Linked DNA regions of Macaca fascicularis. The protein of the gene in region 1 interacts with the protein of each later gene in a pairwise test. Links are inferred from orthologs where the notes say so. Each region holds a gene or a part of one and is shown in the gene's direction. Other genes may lie near its edges.

What was found.
Region 2: the proteins of TLE5 (region 1) and SCNM1 interact in binary tests that used the Homo sapiens proteins (3 or more experiments, as listed by UniProt). The two-hybrid records come from large-scale screens. The link is inferred for Macaca fascicularis from reciprocal best matches to the Homo sapiens genes TLE5 and SCNM1.
Region 3: the proteins of TLE5 (region 1) and TRIM41 interact in binary tests that used the Homo sapiens proteins (3 or more experiments, as listed by UniProt). The two-hybrid records come from large-scale screens. The link is inferred for Macaca fascicularis from reciprocal best matches to the Homo sapiens genes TLE5 and TRIM41.
Region 4: the proteins of TLE5 (region 1) and STX11 interact in binary tests that used the Homo sapiens proteins (3 or more experiments, as listed by UniProt). The two-hybrid records come from large-scale screens. The link is inferred for Macaca fascicularis from reciprocal best matches to the Homo sapiens genes TLE5 and STX11.
Region 5: the proteins of TLE5 (region 1) and SOX5 interact in binary tests that used the Homo sapiens proteins (3 or more experiments, as listed by UniProt). The two-hybrid records come from large-scale screens. The link is inferred for Macaca fascicularis from reciprocal best matches to the Homo sapiens genes TLE5 and SOX5.
Region 6: the proteins of TLE5 (region 1) and TRIM26 interact in binary tests that used the Homo sapiens proteins (3 or more experiments, as listed by UniProt). The two-hybrid records come from large-scale screens. The link is inferred for Macaca fascicularis from reciprocal best matches to the Homo sapiens genes TLE5 and TRIM26.
Region 7: the proteins of TLE5 (region 1) and BHLHE40 interact in binary tests that used the Homo sapiens proteins (3 or more experiments, as listed by UniProt). The two-hybrid records come from large-scale screens. The link is inferred for Macaca fascicularis from reciprocal best matches to the Homo sapiens genes TLE5 and BHLHE40.

Annotation. Positions count from the first base shown.
Region 1 is NC_088393.1:3,755,860-3,759,359, reverse strand, and holds part of TLE5 (TLE family member 5), read left to right. Parts: intron 1-347; coding exon 348-392; intron 393-993; coding exon 994-1,056; intron 1,057-2,520; coding exon 2,521-2,595; intron 2,596-2,674; coding exon 2,675-2,896; 3' UTR 2,897-3,500. UniProt on the Homo sapiens protein: Transcriptional corepressor. Acts as a dominant repressor towards other family members. Inhibits NF-kappa-B-regulated gene expression. May be required for the initiation and maintenance of the differentiated state.
Region 2 is NC_088375.1:110,052,990-110,057,000, reverse strand, and holds the start of SCNM1 (sodium channel modifier 1), read left to right. Parts: upstream 1-1,211; 5' UTR 1,212-1,220; coding exon 1,221-1,271; exon of another isoform or gene 1,272-1,320; intron 1,321-1,545; coding exon 1,546-1,616; intron 1,617-1,972; coding exon 1,973-2,061; intron 2,062-2,158; coding exon 2,159-2,256; intron 2,257-2,363; coding exon 2,364-2,452; intron 2,453-3,467; exon of another isoform or gene 3,468-3,486; coding exon 3,487-3,681; intron 3,682-4,011. Other genes in the region: LYSMD1 (lysM and putative peptidoglycan-binding domain-containing protein 1), read right to left, coding at 148-327. UniProt on the Homo sapiens protein: As a component of the minor spliceosome, involved in the splicing of U12-type introns in pre-mRNAs. Plays a role in the regulation of primary cilia length and Hedgehog signaling.
Region 3 is NC_088380.1:188,317,466-188,321,664, forward strand, and holds the start of TRIM41 (E3 ubiquitin-protein ligase TRIM41), read left to right. Parts: upstream 1-1,399; 5' UTR 1,400-1,823; coding exon 1,824-2,924; intron 2,925-4,199.
Region 4 is NC_088378.1:48,361,255-48,365,211, forward strand, and holds the start of STX11 (syntaxin-11), read left to right. Parts: upstream 1-1,157; 5' UTR 1,158-1,348; intron 1,349-1,774; 5' UTR 1,775-2,081; intron 2,082-3,957. UniProt on the Homo sapiens protein: SNARE that acts to regulate protein transport between late endosomes and the trans-Golgi network.
Region 5 is NC_088385.1:26,250,571-26,254,070, reverse strand, and holds part of SOX5 (transcription factor SOX-5), read left to right. Parts: intron 1-1,289; coding exon 1,290-1,593; 3' UTR 1,594-3,500.
Region 6 is NC_088378.1:142,476,630-142,479,400, forward strand, and holds the end of TRIM26 (tripartite motif-containing protein 26), read left to right. Parts: exon of another isoform or gene 1-128; intron 129-168; coding exon 169-851; 3' UTR 852-2,271; downstream 2,272-2,771.
Region 7 is NC_088376.1:143,199,272-143,203,460, forward strand, and holds the start of BHLHE40 (class E basic helix-loop-helix protein 40), read left to right. Parts: upstream 1-1,389; 5' UTR 1,390-1,667; coding exon 1,668-1,747; intron 1,748-1,910; coding exon 1,911-1,980; intron 1,981-2,241; coding exon 2,242-2,349; intron 2,350-3,249; coding exon 3,250-3,373; intron 3,374-4,189. UniProt on the Homo sapiens protein: Transcriptional repressor involved in the regulation of the circadian rhythm by negatively regulating the activity of the clock genes and clock-controlled genes.

The DNA of each region.
Region 1 (3,500 bases):
GATCATAGAAAGATACAAGATTAGGAGCCCTGGAATGCGTGTTCTCGCGGTGCACACGGAGTGGGGGAGGAGCCAGGCCAGGGCTAGGGACCTAAAGTGCTTCCAGTCTCCATCCGCAGCCCCAGCAGGCCCCTTGCCCCTCTCCCGGGCTGGCTGGGACGCTGGGTGTGGGCGTCTCTCCCTCCTGCTCTTTCCCTCCCACCTGCCTCGTTTCTTTCCTGCCCTCAGCTGTCTCTTGCTCTCTCCCCCCTTTGTCTGTCTCTACCACTCCCTTATCTCTTTGTCTCCATGCCCCCCCATCCTTCCCTGCCCTCATCTCCCGCTCCCTCTCTCTCTCCCCCATACAGTACTATGAGATGTCCTACGGTTTGAACATCGAGATGCACAAACAGGTACGCCCATCTCCTCCTCCTCCTCCTTCTCCTTTCCCCCTCCTCCCCCTCTGCCCCCCGCCTCCAGCACCCCCTTGGGCACCCCCAGGCAGGTAGCAGCCGGCCTTTGGCTGGGCACCCAGCCAGCCCTGTTATCCTGTTACCTCCTAAGCCCTTCCCAAGCTCCCACTCTCCTCCCCACCGCCTCTTTCTCAGGCCTCCCTTGGAGTGTTTTCTGGGGGTGGCGGGAGAGGCGGAGACCTTCCCCACAACCTGTGGCCCCCAGCCCTCCCTACATTCCCACGAGCGCTCACTATCTGCCAGGGGCCTGAGTGGCCCAGCCCTGAGGAATGTAGCCGAGGAATGTGCAGTCTGGCCTCATCCTGCATTTACTGCACTCCAAGCTGCAGGCGACAGCCGGTCTCCAGCCCCACCTTTGCCACTGACTGGCTGCCCTTGGGCCCGAACACGGGTTTGCTCATCCCACCCTGGCCAGACCTAGCCCCTCTTAGAGAGAAGCCGCAAGTGGCAGGGCTGGGCTGGGCCCCGTGCGGGCCTCCTGGGGCTGGCCTGCACCTGCCACCCATCCAGGACTGACGCTGACTTCATCTGTGTGTTCCAGGCGGAGATTGTCAAAAGGCTGAACGGGATTTGTGCCCAGGTCCTGCCCTACCTCTCCCAAGAGGTAAGAGCCAGGGCCTCAGGGAGGGGGTGCCAGGGGGCCCTCCCCTTGCCCAGCCCCTGTCTGCTGCAACCATCTTGGGGGGCGTGCTGGGTGCCCCAGGGCACATGCCTCCCCTCTCTGGACCTCCCCGGCTCTGGGCACCAGAGCTGGCCTATGCAGAAGAATCCCTGGGCCAGAGACACTCCAGGGGTACAGGGGTGTGGGGGCCGGGCCTCACCCTGCTCTGGAATTCCCAGCTAGAGTGAGTCATGTCATAGGTAGAAATGTCGGATGGGCCAAAACTGCACCAGGAATGTTTTTTTCTCATCTCTTCCTCCTTTCACCCTCTTGAGAACATCCTTCAGGCCCTGCGGGTGGCACAGAACCAAAGACTAGAGGGTGTGTTGCGGGGATGGGGTAGCACAGGGCGGTCCCCCATGGACACAGCCACATAGATAGGTATGAGCACATCAACATACGGGAGATACACACACAGACGCAGACACACACGGATACACGGCGTGTGCAGACAGCACAGGGCCACACACGCAGGAATGTGCAGCTACACGTAAGCACATGTGATCCTGAGCACACACTACCACATGCACACACACCCAGAGGAACCTGATGCCCAGCTTCTCTTCTCCTTTCTTGGGTTCTGAGGCTCAGGATGCAAGGCTGCCCCTCCCCAGGGCCATGTAAGGCCCATCTCCTGTCCCTGCCAAGTTTACTGTCAAAAATTTGTAATTTCCTCTTTAATCGCTGTATCTCAGGATCCTTTGGGTGCCCTGCTTTGCCCAGGGACAAGTCTAGAAGGACCCAATGAAAGCCCTAGAGAAAAGGGCAATTGGAACTCTTCAGAACGGAGGCTTCCTGGTGGCCAAAGCAAAAAGGGAGATTGATAGATTCTAGCATCTGCTGGCCACAGAGTCAGGTGTTTGGGGAGAGCTGGGGGAGGAACTGCCCTGAACCTAGGCCCATTCCCCAGCTGGCTCTGCCAGAATTCATTGGGCCCTCTCCAGCCATGGTAGGAGAAGGGCTCAATTTGGCCGGACTCAGGGCACAGTCTTGGAGCTCCTAGGATCAGGACATCCCTGTACAGTTGGGCAGGTTGTGTACTGCACAAATATTCACGTCTTTCACGTCTTTGTACATGGCTGCGGACATAGGATAGGTCAGGATCCGGGGTTTCTCCCAGACTCACTCAAAGGCCGTTTTCTAACTACTTGGCACAAAACCCTTTTAATCGTTTTCTGCACTTTTCCATTTATCTCCATTGGCCAGATGAAGAGACGAGCTTGGTGAAAGGAAGCAGTTGGAGAGAGGGAAGGCGCTTTCTGATGGGGTTGAAAACCACTGGGAGGAGCAGACATGATGGCCCCCTTGGTAGCGGGGCTCCTCCTGGCCCCAGGGTAGCCACCGCCTCCTCTCTCAGTCAGGATCAGGAGGAATCACTGCCTCTCCTCTCTCCTCACCCCCTTCCAGCACCAGCAGCAGGTCTTGGGAGCCATCGAGAGGGCCAAGCAGGTCACCGCTCCTGAGTTGAACTCTATCATCCGAGTACGTATGGGGACCTGGGCGGGTGGGCGGGGGACAGGTGGGCCCTAGGCAGCTAACGTTCCCCTCCCCCGTCCTGCAGCAGCAGCTCCAAGCCCACCAGCTGTCCCAGCTGCAGGCCCTGGCCCTGCCCTTGACCCCACTGCCTGTGGGGCTGCAGCCGCCTTCGCTGCCGGCGGTCAGTGCAGGCACCGGCCTGCTCTCGCTGTCCGCGCTGGGTTCCCAGGCCCACCTCTCCAAGGAAGACAAGAACGGGCACGACGGTGACACCCACCAGGAGGATGACGGCGAGAAGTCGGATTAGCAGGGGGCCGGGACGGGGAGGGTGGGAGGGGGGACAGAGGGGAGACAGAGGCACGGAGAGAAAGAATGTTTAGCACAAGACACAGTGGAGCTCGGGATTGGCTAAACTCCCATAGTATTTATGGCGGCTGCCTGCGGAGGCCCCAGTCCGACTTGCAGGCCACCTCTAGCTTTCTTCCTACCCCAGTCCCGGCCTCCCTCCTCCTCCCCTGCAGCCTGGATAGGTGGATACCTGCCCTGACATGTGAGGCAAGCTGAGGCCTGGAGGGTCAGATGGGAGACCAGGTCCCAAGGGAGCAAGACCTCGAGAAGCCCAGAACCCCTGGCCATTCCCCTGTTTTGAACACGTGTAACTGACAGTCTGCCCGGGCCCCTCGGGGCACACGCCACTGCGCTCTCACCCTGGTACTGCATGCACGCAATGCTAGCTGCCCCTTTCCCATCCTGGGCACCCCGAGTCTCCCCCGACCCGGGGTCCCAGGTCTGCTCCCACCTCCACTTCCTGCCCCACTCACCACCTCTGCTAGTTCCAGACGCCTCCACGCCCACCTGGTCCTCTCCCATTGCCCACAAAAGAGGGGGCACGAGGGACGAGCTTAGCTGTG
Region 2 (4,011 bases), on another chromosome or scaffold:
CTGTGATGGGAAAACAAAGATAAAGGCAGAACAGAGTTCAACACATTAGGAACATTTCAGGGGAGGTTACCTAGAAGGTCCACTACATTCTTCTCAGGACTAAATCCCTCCTGACTCTTGTCTGCACCCCAATCCTGGAAAACTCACCGTCACCCCATATTTGAGTGCTAGTCCAGCCAGGGTGTCTCCGGGCTCCAACTGATGCTCCAGGCGTCTTTCCCTCACTGGGGAGCAGGCCGATTGCACCAGGCTTCCATATGAACGAGCCCGGCTCCCGTGAAGCAGTCCTGACCCCCCTGGCGGGGGCTGTCTAGACGGGGAAGCCATCTCTTCACCCTGCCGACAGCTAGGTTGCAACTAGGGGAGGCCCGACCGAGACTGCGAGTGACAGGCCTGAAGTCTGGGAATAGATATTCAGGGGATTCCTTTCCCCTTCTCTCTTCCCCTGTGTCCCCGCCTCCCCAGCACTACGCCACCTGCCCCCTCCCGGTTTCTCCTCCCTCCAACTCCTTATCCACAAATCTGTCCCTTGAGTATTCAGTCCCTCCCTGATTCGCCCCTAAGCACCCCTCCGACTTTGAACTCCCCCACAACTCCTCGCTACATTGACCTCTGACCTTTGAACTCTAGAAATAATCCTCAACACTCTTTCCTCAGTTTGCCCCCAAGTAGCCTGGCCTCAGGGCGCTCCCACATCCCAGCTCTGCCCGGTCCCGGGGTTTGTTTGCTAGAGCCAGGAACAAATCAGGCCCACCCCAGGTGAACTGTCGCCGCAGACGAAGAGCGTGAGGATTGCGAGAATTTGTAGTACACCTTCCACTCAGAGATCCTCACAGGTCCGCTCCGCATCAGATAGGTCACACCCTCAAATTTCGGCTCCACATCTAGGTTCTTGTCCCTCTAAACGCCTCAGATCCACCAAGATGCAAGGGCCTGGATCCAGCTGAGCGGCAAGGTCTTTGAGGAAAAGACTTCATTTCCCAAAAGGCGTCGCGTCTGCAGAGTCGCACGGCACCATAGGAAATGCAGTTCCCTCCACGCGCCAGAGAGTGGATATCCGGATGGCGCAATGCATGCGTGGAAGTGCATTCCCGGAAGTACGGGGGCCGACAGGAAGACAAAGAGAAAAGAGAAGGCGCTGTCCCGCTCTTGCTACGGTGGCCTAGAGGAGTGGCGAAACCGGAACAAGAAAATTTATCACTCTGGGACTCACAGTCGTGATGTCTTTCAAGAGGGAAGGAGACGATTGGAGTCAACTCAATGTGCTCAAAGTAAGCGTGAGCGGAGAGGATCTGCAGCCTCTTCAGTCGCTCTCTGAAGGTTGGGAAGGAGCGTTGTTTCATTGCTCTGGCAACAACTCGGGGGTGCAGGAGAGAACCAGGCGACTTAGAGCTGTGTAGTGACTCCTTTTTCGGTCTATGATCGCTGTTCTCCCCAGGGTCCTTATGTCCTTATTCCGTTTGACTCCTCATTTCTGTCATTTAACTTCCATCCCTCTCTCCTATCCTGCTGATCCGTCCGGATTTCTTCCCCTACTCCCTGCAGAAAAGAAGAGTCGGGGACCTCCTCGCCAGTTACATCCCAGAGGATGAGGCGCTGATGCTTCGGGATGGACGGTAAGAGCGAGGAGTGGCTCAAGCCTGAGGGTTTTGCGGTTAGAGGCTCAATAGCTGTGTTGCCCAGGCTGTCCTTGAACTCTAGGGCTCAAGTGATCCTGCCTCCTCAGCGTCGCGATTAGCTGGGATTACAGGCGCACGCCACCACGCCCGGCTTCAACAAACTTTTGTTATTAATTAGGACAGCAGAAGTATCTAGGATTCTTTGGCGGCTAGTGAGGACTGGAAGAAGTGGAGATTGGGTCACCAGGGAGTTGGGTTTTGCAAAGACTGCTAGGACAGGGTGGGACTTACGGCAGGGACAGGCCCAACCCTCTTCCCCTGGACCAGTTATCCTCTTCTCTACCCCTGCTCAGCTTTGCTTGTGCCATCTGCCCCCATCGACCGGTACTGGACACCCTGGCCATGCTGACTGCCCACCGTGCAGGCAAGAAACATCTGTCCAGTAAGTTCGGGGGAAGACAGGGGATGGGGAATAAATCGAAATCTCTGCACACCAGCCTTGGTGCTATGCTTTTAATTCTGTTTCCCTTTCTCTTCAGGCTTGCAGCTTTTCTATGGCAAGAAGCAGCCGGGAAAGGAAAGGAAGCAGAATCCAAGACATCAGAATGAATTGAGGAGGGAAGAAACCAAAGCTGAGGTAATCAGAGAGTGGAGAGTGTGTTCTAGGCAAGACCCTGCTGCACACACCAGGCTGGAAGGGCAGAGGGCTGAAGGCTCTGACTCTGTCTCCCATCTTCTTACCAGGCTCCTCTGCTAACCCAGACACGACTTATCACCCAGAGTGCTCTGCACAGAGCTCCCCACTATAACAGTTGCTGCCGCCGGAAGTACAGGTATGGGAGGGGAAAGCCAGAGGTAGGAAGGCTCGGAAGGAGATAGAGGGCTCTGAAAGTGTTTTCCAGTCTGTATTCTGAGGAATACTAGCGTTCTGGAGATGTTACTTAGTGTTTCAAGAAAAGGAGAATTTTGGCCGGGCACGGTGGCTCACACCGGTAATCCCAGCACTTTTGGAGGCTTAGGCGGTGGATCACTTGAGATCAGGAGTTCAAGACCAGCCTGGCCAACATGGTGAAACCCCGTCTCTACCAAAAATATAAAAAATTAGCTGGGTGTGTGGTGTGTGCCTGTAATCCCAGCCACTCAAGAGGCTGAGGTGGAAGAATTGCTTGAATCCGGGAGGCAGAGGTTGCTGTGAGCCAGGATCATACCACTTCACTCCAGCCTAGGTGACAGAGTGAGACTCCATCTCAAAAGAAAAAGAAAAGGAGAATTTTGTGATTTTTAAATAAAGTTTGGGAAATGGCACTTTGTAATTCTACTTGAAGAGTAACAGTTTTAGGCCGGGCGCAGTGGCTCAAGCCTGTAATCCCAGCACTTTGGGAGGCCGAGACGGGTGGATCGCGAGGTCAGAAGATCGAGACCATCCTGGCTAACACGGTGAAACCCCGTCTCTACTAAAAAATACAAAAAACTAGCCGGGTGAGGTGGCGGGCGCCTGTATCCCAGCTACTCGGGAGGCTGAGGCAGGAGAATGGCGTAAACCCGGGAGGCGGAGCTTGCAGTGAGCTGAGATCTGGCCACTGCACCCCAGCCTGGGTGACAGAGCAAGACTCCATCTCAGAAAAAAAAAAAAAAAAAAAAAGAGTAACAGTTTTAAAAGCTATACAAAGTCTTAAGAATTAAAAAAAAAACTTGTAAAATTTAAAGCTAGCCTTTCCCAAATTCATGATTCTAAAATCCTTTGTATGCAGAACTTACTAATATCTTGAAAAATATAGTTTAAGAAACACTGTTTTAAGAGGTTGGGAGTCATAGGAGAGTTGGCCCTTTCCCTTACTGCTTTTACAGACTATTCTTCTCTACCTAGACCAGAAGCCCCTGGTCCCTCTGTCTCCCTTTCTCCTGTGCCACCCTCAGAGGTCGAACTCCAAAGCGGGAAGATCAGTAGGGAACCTGAACCTGGGGCTGGCCCACAGGCTGAGGAGTCAGCAACTGTCTCAGCCCCTGCACCCATGAGCCCCACAAGAAGACGAGCCCTGGACCATTATCTCACCCTTCGAAGGTGAGTGTGCCTAATCAGTTTCCTCAGATTTTCTTTTCTCTCTGACCCTTCTTGTTTCAAAGCTTTTTTTTTTTTTTTTTTTTTTTGAGACGGAGTCTCGCTCTGTCACCAGGCTGGAGTGCAGTGGTGTGATCTCATCTCAGCTCACTGCAACCTCCGCCTCCCAGGTTCAAGCGATTCCCCTGCCTCAACCTCTCGAGTAGCTGGGATTACAAGCATGTGCCACCATGCCTGGCTTATTTTTTGTATTTTAGTAGAGGCGGGGTTTCACTACGTTGGTGAGGATGGTCTCAATCTCCTGACCTTGTGATCCACCCACCTCGGCCTCCC
Region 3 (4,199 bases), on another chromosome or scaffold:
GATCTTGGTCCAGAAGATACCGTTCGTGCACTTAGGTAACACGGCTTGCCTTACCCTTTCCAAAAGGAACTCCGCCCAACGTGGGGCTCGAACCCACGACCCTGAGATTAAGAGTCTCATGCTCTACCGACTGAGCTAGCCGGGCAGCTTGGCCAACATTATAACTTTGTCTCTGAAGACGGAGGTTGCCCGCAGAGGTGTAGGCACGTTTCCAATGTACAAGTACTAAGAAGCGCCTGCGTCTGGCTCTGTTCTAGGTACTAGGGCCGAGGATCTGAAATCTACGGATTCCTTTGCATGTGATGGCTGCATAGGCTTCAGAAGGGAAGAGCAAGAGATTAGGTGAGGTGTAAAACCTGAATTTACACTGCGAGAATTTATTAAGGACGTGGTATGAGTTCGTGTTCCTCCGAAGCGCAGGCCACACATGTCCTTCCAACCCGGTAACCTGGCCTCGGGAGAGAAATTCTCCTGAACAGGCCCCAAAAAAACGTGTTTCCGCCCGGTTTCGAACCGGGGACCTTTCGCGTGTGAGGCGAACGTGATAACCACTACACTACGGAAACCGCCTGAGCTAACGTTTCTCCAGCATCGTCCTGAAGATACACGTGGCTGCGAAGGCCAGGAAGGCGCTAGGCCCTCGCCCTCGTGGGACAGACCCAGGGACCCCTGCCGCGGCCGGCTAAGTGGTGTCCAGGTTCTGGAGCCAGACTTGTCTACCGCAGCCGGGTCCGCAGCTCCTGTAATGGCCGAGCATAGTTCACCCACGAGTGTTCGTGGTTTTTGGCGCGTTTGATCTGACATCCTCAGAGGCCTGACCAGACCCCTCTAGGAAGCACGACGTCCCCCTGGAGTTTTCCCGCGAGCCGCCTCTCCGAGAGCAGGGTAAGTAGGTCCTGTAGGCCCAGCCCTGGCGTCACGCCGTGTCTGGCACTCACTGGAGATTCTGTACATAAATCATTGCCTCGTCATTTTCCTCGCATCAAACAACATTTATTTGTTTTTTATTATGTATCGACATCAAATCTCTATAAAAATAAATTTTAAAGAGCTATTTAAGCACCAAGTATTATTTCTACTGCACAAAGCATCTATTTTTGCGGAGATGCTGTGCGAATGTAGATGTAATGATTCGTCACCACTTCTTTACTGCTGGGCAGTTAGGGAAGTTCATCTAAACCATGAGACTGTGTCCGGTTGGCAGTTTCCACCTTGGATGCGGAACGCCGACTACAGTTGGGGAAGGGTTGGGCGTCTGCGGCCCGATCGGCCAAGCGCTTTCTCAGGCCCCGCCCCCGGTCCGAGCCGTACGACCCTCTGAGTCCTCCACAACAAAGTCTTCTGCCTAGAAGGGCCGGAAGTACTTCAGGGCGCTCCGCGGACCCACCCCCTCGCTTCCGGCATTGGCGGTGCGGCGTACCGGCTGCAGTCGGCTGTGTCGGGAGGGTAGGATGGCGCCTGGCCGATGCGGTCATAGCACCGAAAGCAGACGGCCACCAAGCGCTCCCCCCACCCCCCGAAGTTTCTCCCCAGCGGCGGGGGATGGGGGTAGGCGGTTCCTCTGTTCTTTCTGCGTTCGCCGCGGTCCCGCACCACAGAGACGTGGGCCTCCACCGTCCTAGCCCTACCGCCCTGTTCTGTAGTGCGGGCTAGAGCGTCTCCTTGCCATTTCCTGTCGCCCTGGGGCCCCGCGGGGGAAAAAGGGGGAGTAGCACGACAGCGGAGGGAAGTCGAGAGCTTAGGTGGTGTGTAGACGCCGGAAGTATTGGGAAGGAGGCCGGAAGCTAGGGGCGGGGCCAGGAAGTGAGGAGGGGCGGGGGTTTATGAGGAGTCCAAGGAGCATAGGGGCAGATTTGCACTCAGAGCCACCTGAGGGACTTGGCGGTGGTGCCCAGCACTGTCCCCTCCCCTCGCAGAGACGCGGTTGTCGTTTGGGAGTAGGGAACACTGTGTGGCGGGGTGGGTTGGCGGGAGGACATCTCTCTGGCTGCCCTTGGGGCGAGGTGTGGAGGGGCAGGGCTGGGGGTGGAGCCGGGTCGCCAGGGCGTCGGTGGGGAAGACCCCCGCCCCTCGCCCCCCCACCGCACCTCTACACTGGCTGGCTGGACACTAAGATGGCTGCCGTTGCCATGACACCCAACCCTGTGCAGACCCTTCAGGAGGAGGCGGTGTGCGCCATCTGCCTCGATTACTTCACGGACCCCGTGTCCATCGGCTGCGGGCACAACTTCTGCCGAGTTTGTGTAACCCAGTTGTGGGGTGGGGAGGATGAGGAGGACAGAGATGAGTTAGATCGGGAGGAGGAGGAGGAGGACGGAGAGGAGGAGGAAGTGGAGGCTGTGGGGGCTGGCGCGGGGTGGGACACCCCCATGCGGGATGAAGACTACGAGGGTGACATGGAGGAGGAGGTCGAGGAGGAAGAAGAGGGTGTGTTCTGGACCAGTGGCATGAGCAGGTCCAGCTGGGACAACATGGACTATGTGTGGGAGGAGGAGGACGAAGAAGAAGACCTGGACTACTACCTGGGGGACATGGAGGAGGACCTGAGGGGGGAGGATGAGGAGGACGAGGAGGAAGTGCTGGAGGAGGATGAGGAAGAGGATCTAGACCCCGTCACCCCACTGCCCCCGCCTCCAGCCCCTCGGAGGTGCTTCACATGCCCCCAGTGCCGAAAGAGCTTTCCTCGGCGGAGCTTCCGCCCCAACCTGCAGCTGGCCAATATGGTCCAGGTGATTCGGCAGATGCACCCAACCCCTGGTCGAGGGAGCCGTGTGAGTGATCAGGGCATCTGTCCCAAACACCAAGAAGCCCTGAAGCTCTTCTGCGAGGTAGACGAAGAGGCCATCTGTGTGGTGTGCCGAGAATCCAGGAGCCACAAACAGCACAGCGTGGTGCCATTGGAGGAGGTGGTGCAGGAGTACAAGGTGAGAGAAGTACCGAGAGAAGATGGGAGTTTAGTCGGGGGCGGAGAGGAAGTAAGGGGAGCTGAGGAAAGGAAACATCTCTTCGCCCATCAAAGAACCTCATGGTATTGATGAGCTGAGTTTGCTTGTCTAAGCACTTACTGCCAGCAAGGTGGGTTAGAATGAGAAGGATTCTGTACGCAGAGCAGATGCAGTGAAGACGACCAGTCTTCATTTGCTTTGATGGCTTCCTCAAAGCCAATAGAGCAAAGCCGGTGATGCCAGATCAGGTCTCTAGAACTTTACCAGCAGTCTGGCTTGCTTTCTGGTGAGTCTTAAGTCTGTCCTTGACGGAGACACCTAGAGATGGAAAGAACTGGGGGCTTCAAAGGACAAGGAAAGGCTCAGAAGCAGGAACACAGAGATAACCGCTAGTGTCAGTGTCAGACCCAAATGCCCTGCCCTTGCCTCCCAGTGGGTTCCCCACCCACCACGATGTGGTTTGGTTCTGCCTTCAAGGACTTTTGTTGGCTCTGTGTCACTCTTCTGTACTGACTAGAAAAGAGCTTTTCAGTCAGAAGACCTGGCTCTGCAAGTCGCACTGTCAAATCTTGTTTGTCTCTGTGTGTCTTTGAACTTTAATTTATCCAGGATTGATAGTTAATATTCTCTGGACATTTGTATACCAGGCACTGTACTAGGCAATTTTCATGGACCGTCTCTTTAAAACCCAAACAACACTGTGAGTTTGATATGTTTTCCATTCCCATTTTATAGATTGGGAAAGAGAGTCAGAGGCTTTAAGTACCATACAGAGGACCACAGAGCTTCAGTAATAATTGACTTAGTTATTTGCTGACCCTTCCCCTGGTGTATACTAACAACGCCACCACCATTTGGATGTCTGTTGTTTGACTTTTCTGATGTGACTTTCTTGGAGTCTGATTCTAGTTTGACAAATATCTTGCCCCTACTTCTCATTTTGACTTTCCTTTGGACATAGGTAAAGGAGATTTGTCTGCAAGGCAGCCAGCACAAATAGCACTACTTAGTGAAGGCCTGGATGGGTTTGGAGCAGTGGGACCAGGAGGAGGAGAGGGTAGCCTCTGTGTGGTCTGCTCAGAGCTTGTTTGTTTTATGACTCATGTTTTCACACCTGATTTCCTGCCATAACTTCATTTAGGTACTGTTTTTGTTACCCCAATTTTAGAGTAATGTGTGTAGGACTTCTCAGCCCTGAGTGGTACAGCTAGACAAACCTACATTACTTCATCACAAGTAACTATTGCTTCTACG
Region 4 (3,957 bases), on another chromosome or scaffold:
CTTCGTTGCTCAATGGTTCCATCTTTGGCAACTGGGAGCTCTTTCAGGTGGTTCCTGTGTTTAAACATTCTCCCATCAAGACAGGATTCGTTTATTTTTATTTTTTATTTTTTTTCTTCTCATTCAATTGAGGCAGCGTCTCATTCTGTCGCCCAGGCTGGAGTGCAGTGGCGCGATCTCGGCTCACTGCATCCTTGACCTCCCGGCCTCAAGTGATCCTCCCACCTTAGCCTCCCGCGTAGCTGGGCTCACAGCGCGTGCCACCACGCCCAGTTAATTTTTTTTTATTTTTTGTAGAGATAGGCTTTCACCATATTGCTCTGGCTGGTCTCAAATTCCTGGGCTCAAGAGATCCGCCCCCTTCGGCCTCCCAAAGTGTTAGGATTACGGGCATGAGCTACCGCGCCCGGCCCGATTTTTCCTTTCTTGAGTATCACTTCCTTACTTTTCAGCCTCAGCCTTGTTTTTCAAGGTGCTTTACCATCACCTGACACAATCCACACTTTATGTTTATCTCTCCCCGTTAAAGTGCCGGGACCTGGAGGGAGGGTCTTGGCAGTGTTTTTGAGCGCGGTGTTATCCTGGGAATACAAGGGGCCGCTCAGTTGATATCCAGGGAATGATGAGCCTGGCGGGTGTTGAGGCCGACTGGAGATGGGTTGGCCAGCCGGGTTCTGGGAAGGCTGTGCTCGGCCTCTGTGTGACCGCAGGCTCCTCGCCCGCCTCCTCGAGGGTCCGGCGGATGCAGGACCTGCTGCAGCCTCCGCAGCCACACCCACGCTCAGAGACCGCTTCCAGCGTCCTTGCCGCAGAAACGCACCGGACTGCAAATGTCACCGGCGCAGCGGGGATTCCCGGGGAAAGTCCATCGCACTCCCTGATCTGGGGACCAGAGGATGAGCGGAGGAAGTGTCTTGGGCGGCTAACATCCCACTCCCTGCGCCGGTCCGCGCCGCCCCCGGGAACGCCCCGGGGCTCGCGGGAGGGGCTGGAGCGAGTCCCCGGCTCCGGGCGGTCCCGAGCGCACGGACTCCGGGTGGGGCGGGAACCCGTGCTCTGTGAGCCGGCTGCTGCCGCGCCCCGGCGCTGTCATCCCGGGGCGGGGCCTGGTCCCCAGCTGTGGTAGCTTCCTAAGCGGCGGGGGCTGAGCCGGCGGCGCCCAGATGCGGCCGCGGCGGCGCGGAGCTCGGGCGGCTGTGGAGGAGCCCAGCCTCGGCCGCAGGAGGCGCCGGGAGCAGAGCCGCCGGGAGTCGCGCAACAGGTTTCCTTCCCCATCGCGGCGCCCACAGGGGACGCGCGCCCTGCGGGGAGAGAGGCTTCTCAGTTCGCGCTCTTGTTCCGGGTCCAGGTTTGTTTTTCTCTCCCTGAGCCCCCATTTCTCTTTCTGACCCCCCATTTCTCTTCCTGACCCCCCATTTCTCTTCCTGACTATTCCCCGTGCGCTGAGAGATCCGGGAGGCGGGCGGGGGCACTGTCTGGGCTCGGGACCCGCGGCTGCACCTTAGTTGGGATTTTGGATCTGGCGCAGGTCCTCACGCCGCCTCTGGGCACCTTCGGAAACACAGGATTGGGTTCCTCATATAAAGCGGAATGATTTTTAAAAATTACTTTTAATTTCAGAGGCTGAGGGATTTAGGATTTAGTGCTTCACAGGAGTTATTTTAGGGATACCTGTCGGTAGGCTGCCTTTTAAAAGTGTCCACCTAAGACTAATTTTATTTTAAATCGAAAGACTGAAGTGTTTTTGTGTTATCACCTCTTCACTTCCTATTAGGGTGACTGTGTCAAAAACACCAGAATGGGTACTTCTTGACTTGAACTTGGCAGTGTCACTCAGTAGCCAAGAAAGACGGAGAAATTGATAGAGCCTTGGAGCAGTCCCTTCGCAGCCCACGTAAGACTTTGTTTTAGAAAAATGGAGAGAAGTAGTGGCAATGCCTGCGAGAACCACGCCGTCCTGAGAGGGAATTCTGCCTTTTTCTAGACTCCGCTGACACCAGCTGAGATCTGTATTACTTCCTGTGGTTCTCACGCGCTTGTTTCAGCCGTTTCTCAGCAAAGGGAGGAGCTGTTATTTACAGGTATCCAAAAATGAGTCACAGGGCTGCTCTCTTAATTGTGAGACTTTGTTAATGAACTTTTGAAAAGCGAGGCTTGCTCTGTCTGTATTTAAAATGAGACTGTAGATGTGAAATGCCTGCCCTGCTGACCTGGGGCAGTGGTATGGGAAGTGACGATTGAGTTTTCAGTTTCCTAAGGCGCCTGATGTTACAACATGCCAGTAAAGGTCACTGGGTTGATTTAAGATAACCATTAAAATCATGTGCTTTGCCTCAGAAGCCCGGGAGAAAATTAATTTCATTATTCAATGACCATTTTGCTACCATTTTCACTGAATAGTAGAAATGTATCATTTAATGTGGTGACTGTAAGTAACTCTCTAAAATCAAAATATTTCAGACAGTGTGTGTTTACTAAATTGATGCCAAAACCACATGGTGCTTTTTGAAGCGGGTGGGTACCCGCGGGAGCAGAGAAATTTAAAAGTTGAAGCTGACAGGCCCCACTGTGGTGGGTAGCAGCACCTAGGAAGGGACTGCACACTATCTCAACACGGTAGAGAAGGGAGCACCATCTCTACTGGAGCTGAGTTGAGCTGAATTCAGTCCCAAACAACAGTTAACAGGTACTTTCTCTGTGCCAGCCTCTTCCCTGAACCTTGCTTGTACAACCATGAATAATAGGATCCCGCTGACAAGGTGCTAGGGTAAATCTATACCCAGAGTGAAGTTTCTGTCCCAATATAACTCAATCTGCTGGGTTCCAGTGTATTTAAAGAGTAAACTCAGCAGATTACCATCCCTAGATCATTGCAGTCACCTTTAGTTAGCAGCGTGACTTTTAGGAAATGGTATGACTAATTAATAGGTTGTTTTGTTTTGTTTTTTGAGACAGAGTCTTACTCTCTTGCCCCAGACGGGAGTGTAGTGGTGCAATCTTGGCTCACTGCAACCTCCTCCTCCTGCGTTCAAGCAATTCTCGTGTTTCAGCCTTCCAAGTAGCTGGGACTACAGGCACCCACAACACCCAGCTGACTTTTGTATTTTTAGTAGGGACAAGTTTGGCCCTGTTGACCAGGCTGGTCTCGAACTACTGACCTCAGGTGATCTGCTTGCCTTGGCCTCCCAAAGTGCTGGTATTGCAGATGTGAGCCACCATGCCCTGCCTAATACTTTATAAATTTGTAACACTATATTGAAGCAAGTTTTTGATCATTGTTTTTGTAGTTCAAATCAATGTTTTTTAGCACATTATAGCCTTGTGAGCCAAAATGAATAAATCTACCATATCACAGTTTACTGTTACAATTGAAATCTGCTGAGACACTTTTGAACTTGATGCCCAAGTATCAAGGTTTCCAAGTTTCCACAGTTTGCTAAGATATCCAACTAATAAAGGCAACACTGCTAAATTTCAGACAACTTTACCTTAATTTCCAAACTTTATTCCTCCTTTGAGAGCCCTGAAGTTACTTTTTCTATGAGAAAGGGTTGAGTGTGTCATTCAGCATTGTACTCCCTGAACTTGTCCCAGGCTCGACTCATGAGAAGTGTTGGAAAGTGTTTATTGATGAAATAATGAACCTTCATGTAGGAGGATGAATTGGCAGGCAAGTGGAAGGCTCGGTGACCCAGCAGAAGGAACAGCACCCATAGAGAAGTGAAACAGCACTGGACATTCAGGAAACTCCAGCCTGTTTAGTGACAGCACAGAGCGAGGGCTGGGGAGACAGGAAGGGCCAGATCACAAAGGCCCCATGAGGGTTTATAGTACTGAGCCCTTTGAACAAGTGAATGATATTGTCAGGTGTGTGTTTAAAAAATTATAACAAAAATTGGAATTTAAAAAATCTTAGATTAGATGACAGTGGCATTGACTTTAGGGAGACACCTTGGA
Region 5 (3,500 bases), on another chromosome or scaffold:
CAAAATAAAGTTGTTCATGTTTGAAACAGAAGTTAGTTTCTAAGAGCTTCTTAGAATAATAAATATTGTTCTAAATGTGGGCAGAGAAAAACTCATAAAAACCTTTTTAAATCTGCTCTGTCCCCTCCAGTTCCTTGGAATAGGCTGCATGCTCTGTCCAGGGCTCTGTGATATTGCAAGCATGTGACTCCTTACAAAGCTAAACACAGAGCCCAACAGTTCTTGGGCAAATACTAAACATATGAATGAATAAAAGCATAAATGAACATCATCTCTTCATCCCTTCCAATAGGACCACCTACGTTATTTATAGGACTAGGTGCAAAAATGAGGAGACAGGGTCTCTTGTTAAAAAGTTATTAAGAATTTCAAGTCTGTGGCAGCACAACTTGAAATCAAGTATGAGACCTTAGCATAGCTGCACAGTTTGTACATCCATGAAGCTGGTCCTGCCTCCTACCACTACAAGGCCAAAACTGTTTCAGAGACTCAGTGGATAGTGTGAATTTGTTCAGCTCTGCTGTGTTCTGGGCAGTAAAGTTTTATTTTGAGAACTCTAATGTTTTAGGATTTTCCCATTAAAATTTAATTATCTTTACATTTAATTCTGGGGAAAAATGCTATTTCTGTATGTTATAGTGAAGGAAAACTGAACTTGGAATTAATGACCTGGGTTCTTCTGCTTCAACTTTCTGCACCTCAGTTTTTTAATAAAACAGTAGTAACAAAACAGGATTAAGAATAAGATGGGACAACACATGTAAATGTCTTGTACTCTATGAAGCACTCCATAGAAGTACGGTATTAGGCCGGGCGCAGTGGCTCACGCCTATAATCCCAACACTTTGGGAGGCTGAGGCAGGCAGATCACCTGAGGTCAGGAGTTCGAGACCAGCCTGGCCAACATGGTGAAACCCCGTCTCTACTAAAAAGACAAAAATTAGCCAGGTGTGGAGGCAGATGCCTGTAATTCCAGCTACTTGGGAGGCTGAGGCAGGAGAATCGCTTGAACCCGGGAGGCAGAGGTTGCAGTGAGCCAAGGTCATGCCATTGCATTCCAGCGTGGGCAACAAAAGCAAAACTCCATCTCAAAAAAACACAAAAACAAAAACAAAAAAAACAACAAGGTATTAAAGTCAAAGTAGGATACAGTCTGAAAAATGTTGGGCAATTAGATAAAATTAGTACCTTAGAATTGGACATTGCTGAGCAAATTAATTATGTAATAAAGTCCACATCTAACTATTCACTCACCCATGATATCTTTTTGGGAATTCCTTTCTTGACAGGCAACAAGCACAGATCCCCATTGCCACTGCCGGTGTTGTGTACCCGGGAGCCATCGCCATGGCTGGAATGCCCTCCCCTCACCTGCCCTCGGAGCACTCAAGCGTGTCTAGCAGCCCAGAGCCTGGGATGCCTGTTATCCAGAGCACTTATGGTGTGAAAGGAGAGGAGCCACATATCAAAGAAGAGATACAGGCCGAGGACATCAATGGAGAAATTTATGATGAGTACGACGAGGAAGAGGATGATCCAGATGTAGATTATGGGAGTGACAGTGAAAACCATATTGCAGGACAAGCCAACTGATAAGGGTCAAAAGATTGTTGTGACCTTAGGACTTAAAGAAGCCCTAACTGGTTCATCCTTACCAGTGGCCAAGCACATTAACTTTCTCATACACTGACTGTTACTTTAACTGTTAGTCTTAAATAGTTGGGACATCAGCTGACTAATAGACCTCAGCCTCAAAAGGCTTGGAAAGAAAAAAAAATACAACAAGCAAACAACAATATCAACAACAAGAGATTGAAATAAGCTATGGGTAAAATAATGCCAGTAATTCAGCTGCTACATCCAAGCACTGAAGTCTTACCCGTCAACTTTTTTTTTTTTTTAAATAAACTTTATGGCTGTTTGTTCTACAATGTTCTAGAAATTCTCACTCAGGTACACAGTGCCAACAAGTGGCTTGTGAATGTGTTTTGTTGTTTTGTGCTACAATTTTTAAAAAGAAATAAGTTTTGTTTTGTTTTTTGGGGTTTCTGGGTTTTTTCCTTTTCTTTTTCTTTCCTTTCATTTTTTTTTCTTTGTAATGCACCTGACAGAAAAAAAAGAAAAATGAATTTCTCTTTACTTCTCTCCACCTTCTCCATCTCTATACTTTAAAGATGGAAGTCTGTGCATGAGGGGGAAGAGGGAAAAAGAGCCTGTTTTTAACTTCCTTGCTATCCACCACAAAATAAGCAATTATTTTCTTTAGAGGACTTTCTTTATCTATTGCACACCACACTACATCTTTGAGCAAGTGCCAAATTTGTACTGAAGTGTTGACCAAGTTCATTTTTTCCCTTTACTTTTTCCTGTTCCTTCTTAAGTTAGGACAGTGTTAAATCTTAGACAATCCCTGAAAAACCTGAAATACCAGCAGCTGGTGAGATTTGACTTTTTTTTTAATGGAAACTGTAGGTGCTGTTCTCAGGTGAAAAGAGAGAGAGAGACATAAGAAATTTAGAGAAAAATATTTTCTGATCTTGGATTTTTGTGTGTATGTATGTGTGTGATTATGGTACTAATAGGAATAACGTTGGACCATTGTGAGTTAAACCCACATCTGGGGATGAAATCCCACATCCTCCCAAGTGACTGGTCTAGAAATAATCTTGACCTTGACTTTGCACTTCAAATGACAACTTAACCAAGTATAGGGCTCAGAAATTATATTTTTAAATGTCTAATATGATGATTATTGGATGGATCAGGTGGCCCTGTGTAATAGAGGTGTGCATGTATAACATGGAAGCTACTAGCAAACTGCTCCCAGATGTCCTTTCTCCCTGGTCAGTTGGTTCCATTAACGTTTGCTACTTAGTGATTTTTGTTTTTCCTGTTGATATTTCGAGCAAAACAATCATTGTTTTCATTGAATATATTTGGCCATTTTTCAGACAAATAGAATTAGCTTATTTCTTCAACATTCCATCCTTTCCCGATCAGGAAATGAAACTGATGATTTTACAAGGTATTTTTCACCCCTCCATGAAACGAGGTGGAGGCCTTTAGCATTTCAGAAGTGTGGGCCATGTGTAGTTCATGCCATAAAAAGTAGGATTTAATTAAAAGTCATTGCAGTCCAACAAAATGGAGCCTGGCTGCACCCAGGGATTCTTGTCACTGCTCTTCCCTTGCTGTCAGATGAATCCACTGAAGTCCAACTTTGGTTCGAGCAGAGTATTTGCGAAGAGCAACAACTGAATGTGATGGGACTGCTTATGTAGATTTTGCCAGCCAAATGCCAAGGCAGTTGTAGGGCCTGTACAAATAAATGCAAAATCATTTCAAGTCAATTGCCATTATTTGTACTGAAGTATCAGATAGTAAATACTGCAACTAGTAGCTCGATGTGCTATAGTTTTCACTCCAGTCATCATTTTCCTATCTCACCCCCCGAAACACCACCCTAAAGTTGGATTTTTACATATAAATAATGAAAAAAA
Region 6 (2,771 bases), on another chromosome or scaffold:
CAAAGCCAGAAAATGTGTCACACTTATACCAAATTAAGGATGTTACGTTACTAATATATGCAACTTTAATTTTGTTTAACACTGTCTGCCAAAATAAATTTTATTCCCTCTAACTTAAAAAAACAAAACAGTGATGTTGTTTGTTTTTTTTTCCCCTTGTCCCCACAGTGAGTGTCACCCTGGACCCACAGTCGGCCAGTGGGTACCTGCAGCTGTCAGAGGACTGGAAGTGCGTGACCTACACCAGCTTGTACAAGAGTGCCTACCTGCACCCCCAGCAGTTTGACTGTGAGCCTGGGGTGCTGGGCAGCAAGGGCTTCACCTGGGGCAAGGTCTACTGGGAAGTGGAAGTGGAGAGGGAGGGCTGGTCTGAGGATGAAGAAGATGGGGATGAGGAGGAAGAAGGAGAAGAGGAGGAAGAGGAAGAGGAGGCCGGCTATGGGGATGGATACGATGACTGGGAAACAGACGAAGATGAGGAATCGTTGGGCGATGAAGAGGAAGAAGAGGAGGAGGAAGAGGAGGAAGTTCTGGAAAGCTGCATGGTAGGGGTGGCCAGAGACTCTATGAAGAGGAAGGGAGACCTCTCCCTGCGGCCAGAGGATGGCGTGTGGGCACTGCGCCTCTCCTCTTCCGGCATCTGGGCCAACACCAGCCCCGAGGCCGAGCTTTTCCCAGCACTGCGGCCCCGGAGAGTGGGCATCGCCCTGGATTATGAAGGGGGCACTGTGACTTTCACCAACGCAGAGTCACAGGAACTCATCTACACCTTCACTGCCACCTTCACCCGGCGCCTGGTCCCCTTCCTGTGGCTCAAGTGGCCAGGAACGCGCCTCCTGCTGAGACCCTGAACCCTGACATCTGCCCCTGGCCCCACACCCTCAGATGCTTCACTTCTTTGGAATTCCAGGACTCTCAATGGGGGGAAGGGATGCCTGGCCTGAGCACCTGGAGCAGGGGACCCCATATCCACTGGCAGCCACCTCCCCGTCGCTCTGGCCCCCTGAGGTCTCACTCAGTGCTGTTGCTCCATCTACTGCCCTAATGGGGCTCTTCTCCCACCTCCTGCTGGTGTCCCGAGGGAACTTCTGACCCTGGAGCCCATGAGGGCTCCTTTCCTTTTTGACCACTACCTTGGCCCCGGCTCTGCACTCTCTGTGGAGTAAGGGCCTGACACAGCATTTTCTTGCCCACCGTGGCAAGACCTTGGAAAAAACAGTTGATTATGCCTAAGATCATTTTGCTGTCCTTAAACCCTACAGGTTCCTTCTTGCACAAATCCACTCTGGTGCCCGCCTTCCCTGGCGTTTTAAACAGACCGACCCCACCCCATCTCAGAGTTAAGCATACACGGCAATGCTGAAAATAAACAATGAAAATCCACTGAGGCTTCCCAAGCCATTTAAGGCCTGGAGTACCAGCGCATATCATCTCATGGGGTCCAGAGTGGAGTCCAGGCTTCTCTGAAACCAGGGCTGAGCATATTTCCATAGCCAAGGATGTGGGACTCCGTGGAGCTATCTGTGGTCTTAGAGAAGGATCCAGACATACACGGCTTTGGGGTACCAGCTGTGATCACTGATCAATAAATTATCTCTGGATTGGTCCTTGTGGGGGGAGTTTTAAGAATCCAGAACATCTTGCTCTTGATTAGCACATCCAAAAACACCAAGACAAATATCCAGTGGAACAGAACCTCCCCTGCCTGGGGAGTTCTGACCACGTTCCCCAGCAGGGTGTTAATCCACTGTCCCTGGCCCTACTCAGCCTCCAGGTTCCACTTTGCTAGGAGAGAGTGGAGATGGGAAGACAGGGAAAGGAAGGCAGCAGGAGGCCACAAGTCCACCAGGTCTTCATGTCAAGAGAGGGAGTAACGTGTCTCCTCATTGCCCACGGACCCAGCCTCTGTCCAGGCGCCCCTCATGGCCACAGTTTAACACAAGCTCCCTTGCTCCAGCCAAATTGATCTCCCAGTCTTGACCTTACCTATTCCAAATGCTCTGCCAGTCCCTGTTCATCCAAGTTTTAAGTCCTCCACCCTGTTGTAAGAGACTGTTCCGGGTCTCAGTGGTCTCTTGACCACCATTGTCTCAGAGCTGCCCACTTTGTGTGTGCCACATGCTGCCTGAGTCACATGTACATCTTATTTCTGCCTCTAGTTTTGTAAGCTCCTGGAGGGCGGATAACATCTTATACTACTCTTGTATTCTGATGGCACCTAGTGCAGTGCTGGGCACAGAGTAGGTGCTCAATAAAGACTTGTTGAATGAACAGTCTGGAAATGTATATCTGTAGGATCTATATGGTATCTCAAATGCCACCAGACCTCAGTCTGGCTACAGAGAAATTCCATTGATAGCAGTAGCCGAAGGTTTTCCTTCTGTGCCTTCTGTAACTATGTAACTTTGCTTTCTGTTCTCTGTTTGCACACGTGCTGTCATTTCTGGAAGTCCCTCAAAAAGAGCCTACTGCGGGACACAGACCATTTGTTGTGTGTCTCCACCTTGTTATTCCTCCTGCAGTGGTGCCCTTGAGCTGAAGTCCAGCATTTTGGAGCAAGTGATGACTCTCCCTGAGAAGGGAGACATCCAGTATAGCACCCCCAAAATTCTTCCTTGGAAAATAAGCACTGCCCCAGAGGAAATAGAATGTGCAGCCTTGCCTCCTAACACAGTCAACTGTTTTTCTTGTCCTTTCTGATTTTTTTTTTTTTTTTGAGACAGAGTCTCGCTTACCCAGGCTGGAGTACAGTGGCGCGATCTCGGCTCACT
Region 7 (4,189 bases), on another chromosome or scaffold:
TCGGATTCATCAACAAACACAGCGCCTAGCACAGAGTAGGGGGCTCAACAAATATGTGTCGACTGCATGATTGCTAAGATTTTACTGTGTAACAGGCGGTTTTATTTCTTGTCTCTCTCATCCCTCCTGCCCTGGGTGCAGACCGCAAACAGCGCCGCCGAAGTTCCCAACAGGCAGGGAGAGGGCCGATCCGGGTTGGCACACCACGTCCCCGGGGTCTCAGTCCCTGGGTCAACGCAGAGGGGCTCGCGGTCCGCGGCGCTGCGACCTGAGCCCCGGCCACGTGAAGCGTCACGCCCTGCGCTGCTGCAGGGCAGGCGCCGCCGCCGCGGTTGTGTAACGCTGCAGCCGGAGGGGAGGCGACCCGGGCGCCTCTGCTCTGGAGGGGGCAGAGGAGGGAGGGAACACCGGGCACCGTGCCCGGTATCTTTCTGTGCTTGACTGGCCGGGAGGAAGGGGGTGACACTGGGGCACCCAGGGGGCTGCGCAACCAGGTGCCCGCCCGCCCGCAGGCTGTGCCCGGGAGCGGAGCTCCTGGGGAGCGAGGGGCCCTCGGCTCACACCCTCCTCGGTCAGGTGCGCGCGGCGTGCTCGGCGGCAGCCTCAGCTGCCCCTGCGCTTGGCTGTCTGCCCGCTTCCCATGGGGTGACATCCGCCCCGCCCCTCGGTCCCTCCCCAAGGCGGGCAATTCCTGGACGCGAGGGTGAGCAGTGGGGGCAGGGAAGCCAGGACGGAAAGAAACCCCAGCCTCTGGGGAAGGCTGGGGGGCCGGGCGACTCCCTCCGCTGAGCGCCGGTTCCTCCAAGCGGGCCGGGCGGGGGAGGAGGAAGAGGGCTGGGCTGGAGCTAGCAAGGGGATATTCCTCTCCCGGCTTGAGTCAGACGCGGGCGGATCCGTCCTCCCCCGTTCCCTCCCAGGAGACGGGAACTTACTTCATTTCCCTGGGGCAGGTTCGCCCACGTTACCAACTCTCCCCCTCCCCCAGCAGCCCCGTCCCTTTCAGCTTCCGCGCCCCCCACCCAACTGGGCAGGACCCAGGTTGCGCTGCCACCCCCTCTTCGGGGAAAGGCGGCCGCAGCCGCAGACACCTGGGGGCCGGGGCTGGGGGTGGGGGCTCCCTAGCAGCCGCCGGAGCGTTGTCCAACACGTGAGACTCATGTGATGAAGCCGGGGGAGGGCGGGCAGGTCGCTCCTTCCCTCCCCGGCAGTGGCCAGACGTGCCTGGAGTCACAGGGTAGAACACGTAGCTCCAACCCACCCACTCGCTCCCATTTAACCCAGCCCGCAGCCTCTCCATTACTCCTCGGCTTGTGCCCCCACCCCCCCTACTCCGCCCTAACCGCCCCCCCCCACCCGCTCCCTCCCGCCTCCCCGCCCGCCCCACTTCTCATTCACTTGGCTCGCACGGCGCAGACCGCGCAGGGAGCACACACCGCCAGTCTGTGCGCTGAGTTGGAGCCAGAGGCCGCGGGGACACCGGGCCATGCACGCCCCCAACTGAAGCTGCATCTCAAAGCCGAAGATTCCAGCAGCCCAGGGGATTTCAAAGAGCTCAGACTCAGAGGAACATCTGCGGAGAGACCCCCGAAGCCCGCTCCAGGACAGTCCTCATCCAGACGCTCCGCTAGAGCAGACAGGAGCGCGCAGTGGCCCCGGCTCGCCGCACCATGGAGCGGATCCCCAGCGCGCAACCACCCCCCGCCTGCCTGCCCAAAGCACCGGGACTGGAGCACGGAGACCTACCAGGGTAAGTTGGCACTCCTTGGCCCTTCAAGCCTCAACTCCAGCCCCATGTTATGCGCCACTCTCAACTTGGAGCAGCTCCGGGCGCACCGGGGGGTTCTTGCCCGGCAGAACGCCTGCAGCCGTGCGCAAGCAGTCACGACCCTTCCTGGTCTCTCTTCCTGCAGGATGGATTTTGCCCACATGTACCAAGTGTACAAGTCAAGACGGGGAATAAAGCGGAGCGAGGACAGCAAGGTAAGCAAGTGCACCCCTGGGGACCCTGCGCTCAGCCCCTCGCGCGCGCTGAGTTTCCAAGAAAAGTTTTCTCGCTTTGAGGTTGGCGAGGGTATGCAGGGTGTGGGCTCGGTGCCTCTTCTGAGTGACTTGGAAAAGAAGGGGCAGATGATGGTTCTGGGTGCTATTCTGCTCCTCTGCCGGACTCGTGCTGCGGGGCTGGGAGGATAGGCTTCTCATCTCCTTTCCCAAGCGCCCACCGCCTCCCCGTGCGTCTTGCAGGAGACCTACAAATTGCCGCACCGGCTCATCGAGAAAAAGAGACGTGACCGGATTAACGAGTGCATCGCCCAGCTGAAGGATCTCCTACCAGAACATCTCAAACTTACAGTAAGTGAGAAGCTGGCCCCTTTCCAACCCAGTCCTTTGCCCAGAGGGCGGGCGGGGGTCACTCGCCGCCTGCAGGTTCCGCGGGGAACTGCAGACCAGACGGGCGGATCAGAGCTGGCGGGTGGCTCTGTGGTGTGGTCCTCCTCCACAGTCCTTGCGTTTTCTGGCTGACTCATGCAAATGAGGCGAGAACCGCTTGGACCTCTCCAAGTTGGCTACAACACCAACTGGCCTTCCTTTTCAAGAGTTTAACTTCTGGTGATTTTCAGGATTCCCTAGTTTTTCTAACTTAAAGGAACACGCCAAGCAACACACACATTTACCCCTTTCCCTCCACCACTCCCCCCACCTTTTTTTTTGTTGTTAAATAAGTGGACTTGCTTTGGTGTGTGATTTTTACGGCCTGTCCTTTCTTGACAGTAGCCCTCAGCTACTTGGCAGCCTTTGGTTGGGGAAATGGAAAAAAAAAAAAAGTATTTTGGGAGGAACAAAAAAGCCTGAATGAGCTGGAAGTTCTGAAAGGGTGTAAGGAAAGAAGTAGGGAAAGCCTATTGGCTGCCAGACATAATAGAGGTCCCTCTCTGAGTTGACACCCCTGCAGAAAAATGTTATCTCTGGATTCCCCTGAGTTAAGGTCAGCAGAGGCTGCTGGAGAAATTTATCTGTCAAAGCGTTTTCCTGAGGTAGTTGCAGCTTCCAAAATGCCTCCAAAGAGAGATGGCACCCTTTTTTAAATTATTTAATCATATATATTTTATATATATGTGTGTTAGAACAGCCAACGAAGAAAGACTATCCACTTTTTTTTTTTTCTTTTAGAGACATTTCTCTTTGCTAAGAAATATCCCAAAGGTGGGACTTCTTTGACCTCACCGCTGACTAAGGCTCTTTTCCTTCTAGACTTTGGGTCACTTGGAAAAAGCAGTGGTTCTTGAACTTACCTTGAAGCATGTGAAAGCACTAACAAACCTAATTGATCAGCAGCAGCAGAAAATCATTGCCCTGCAGAGCGGTTTACAAGCTGGTGAGTGCTGATTCTGGCTCTCCTCTTTTTAAGAGTTTGAGCACAAATAGAGAGCCTGTGGGCTCAACATCTGATGGAATAAACATTACTGCAACAAACTGCTTATGCACCTTCATTGGGGGAGATGCAGTTTTATCTTTCCTAAAAGGTCAGACTTTTCATTTGAAATGCAGTGTGCCACCTGGCATGAATACGTATTAGTGAAATGATAAGATATTCCTGTGGCATTTTAGCTTGAGAGTCTCTGGGTTCTGGGAGATTTCCCTACTCCCTTTTAAAATGCCAAGGCACCTATAATTTGCCTTGTGGGTGTTTTACAGTTGGTCTTCTTAGCCCTCTTTCATTGGAGAAGAAATCGTGGGTATGCCCCAGTGTTTTCCTGTTTCTTTGCTTCCTTGTCACTTGGTGTGTGGTGTGATCCTGGCAGGATACAGCAGGAGTTTTTCCTGCATTTCATGTGGTTCCCTGAATAGCCACTAGGTATCATGGTAAATTGCACAATCTAGCGAAACCACTGAAGTTTCATCATTCGTTTCAACAGACTTCCAGATAATCGGAGTCACCTAACCTTCTAGTCTCACTTCTTCCAAATAATACTGTACTGACTGGGGAGAATTATTCTACCCACTCCCTCATTTCATTCTCTGCCTTCCTCTCCAAGGCTCGTATGATGAAAATTGCAAAAACCCAGCAAATGCTTCTGCCAGTTTCCTCATTAAAAATAGGAAGATGGTCATACCTAATGTCTTGAGGATCATGGATAGAATATGTGGAAAAGATATAGAAATAGAGAGCCTAATTAAAGATAACAGCATG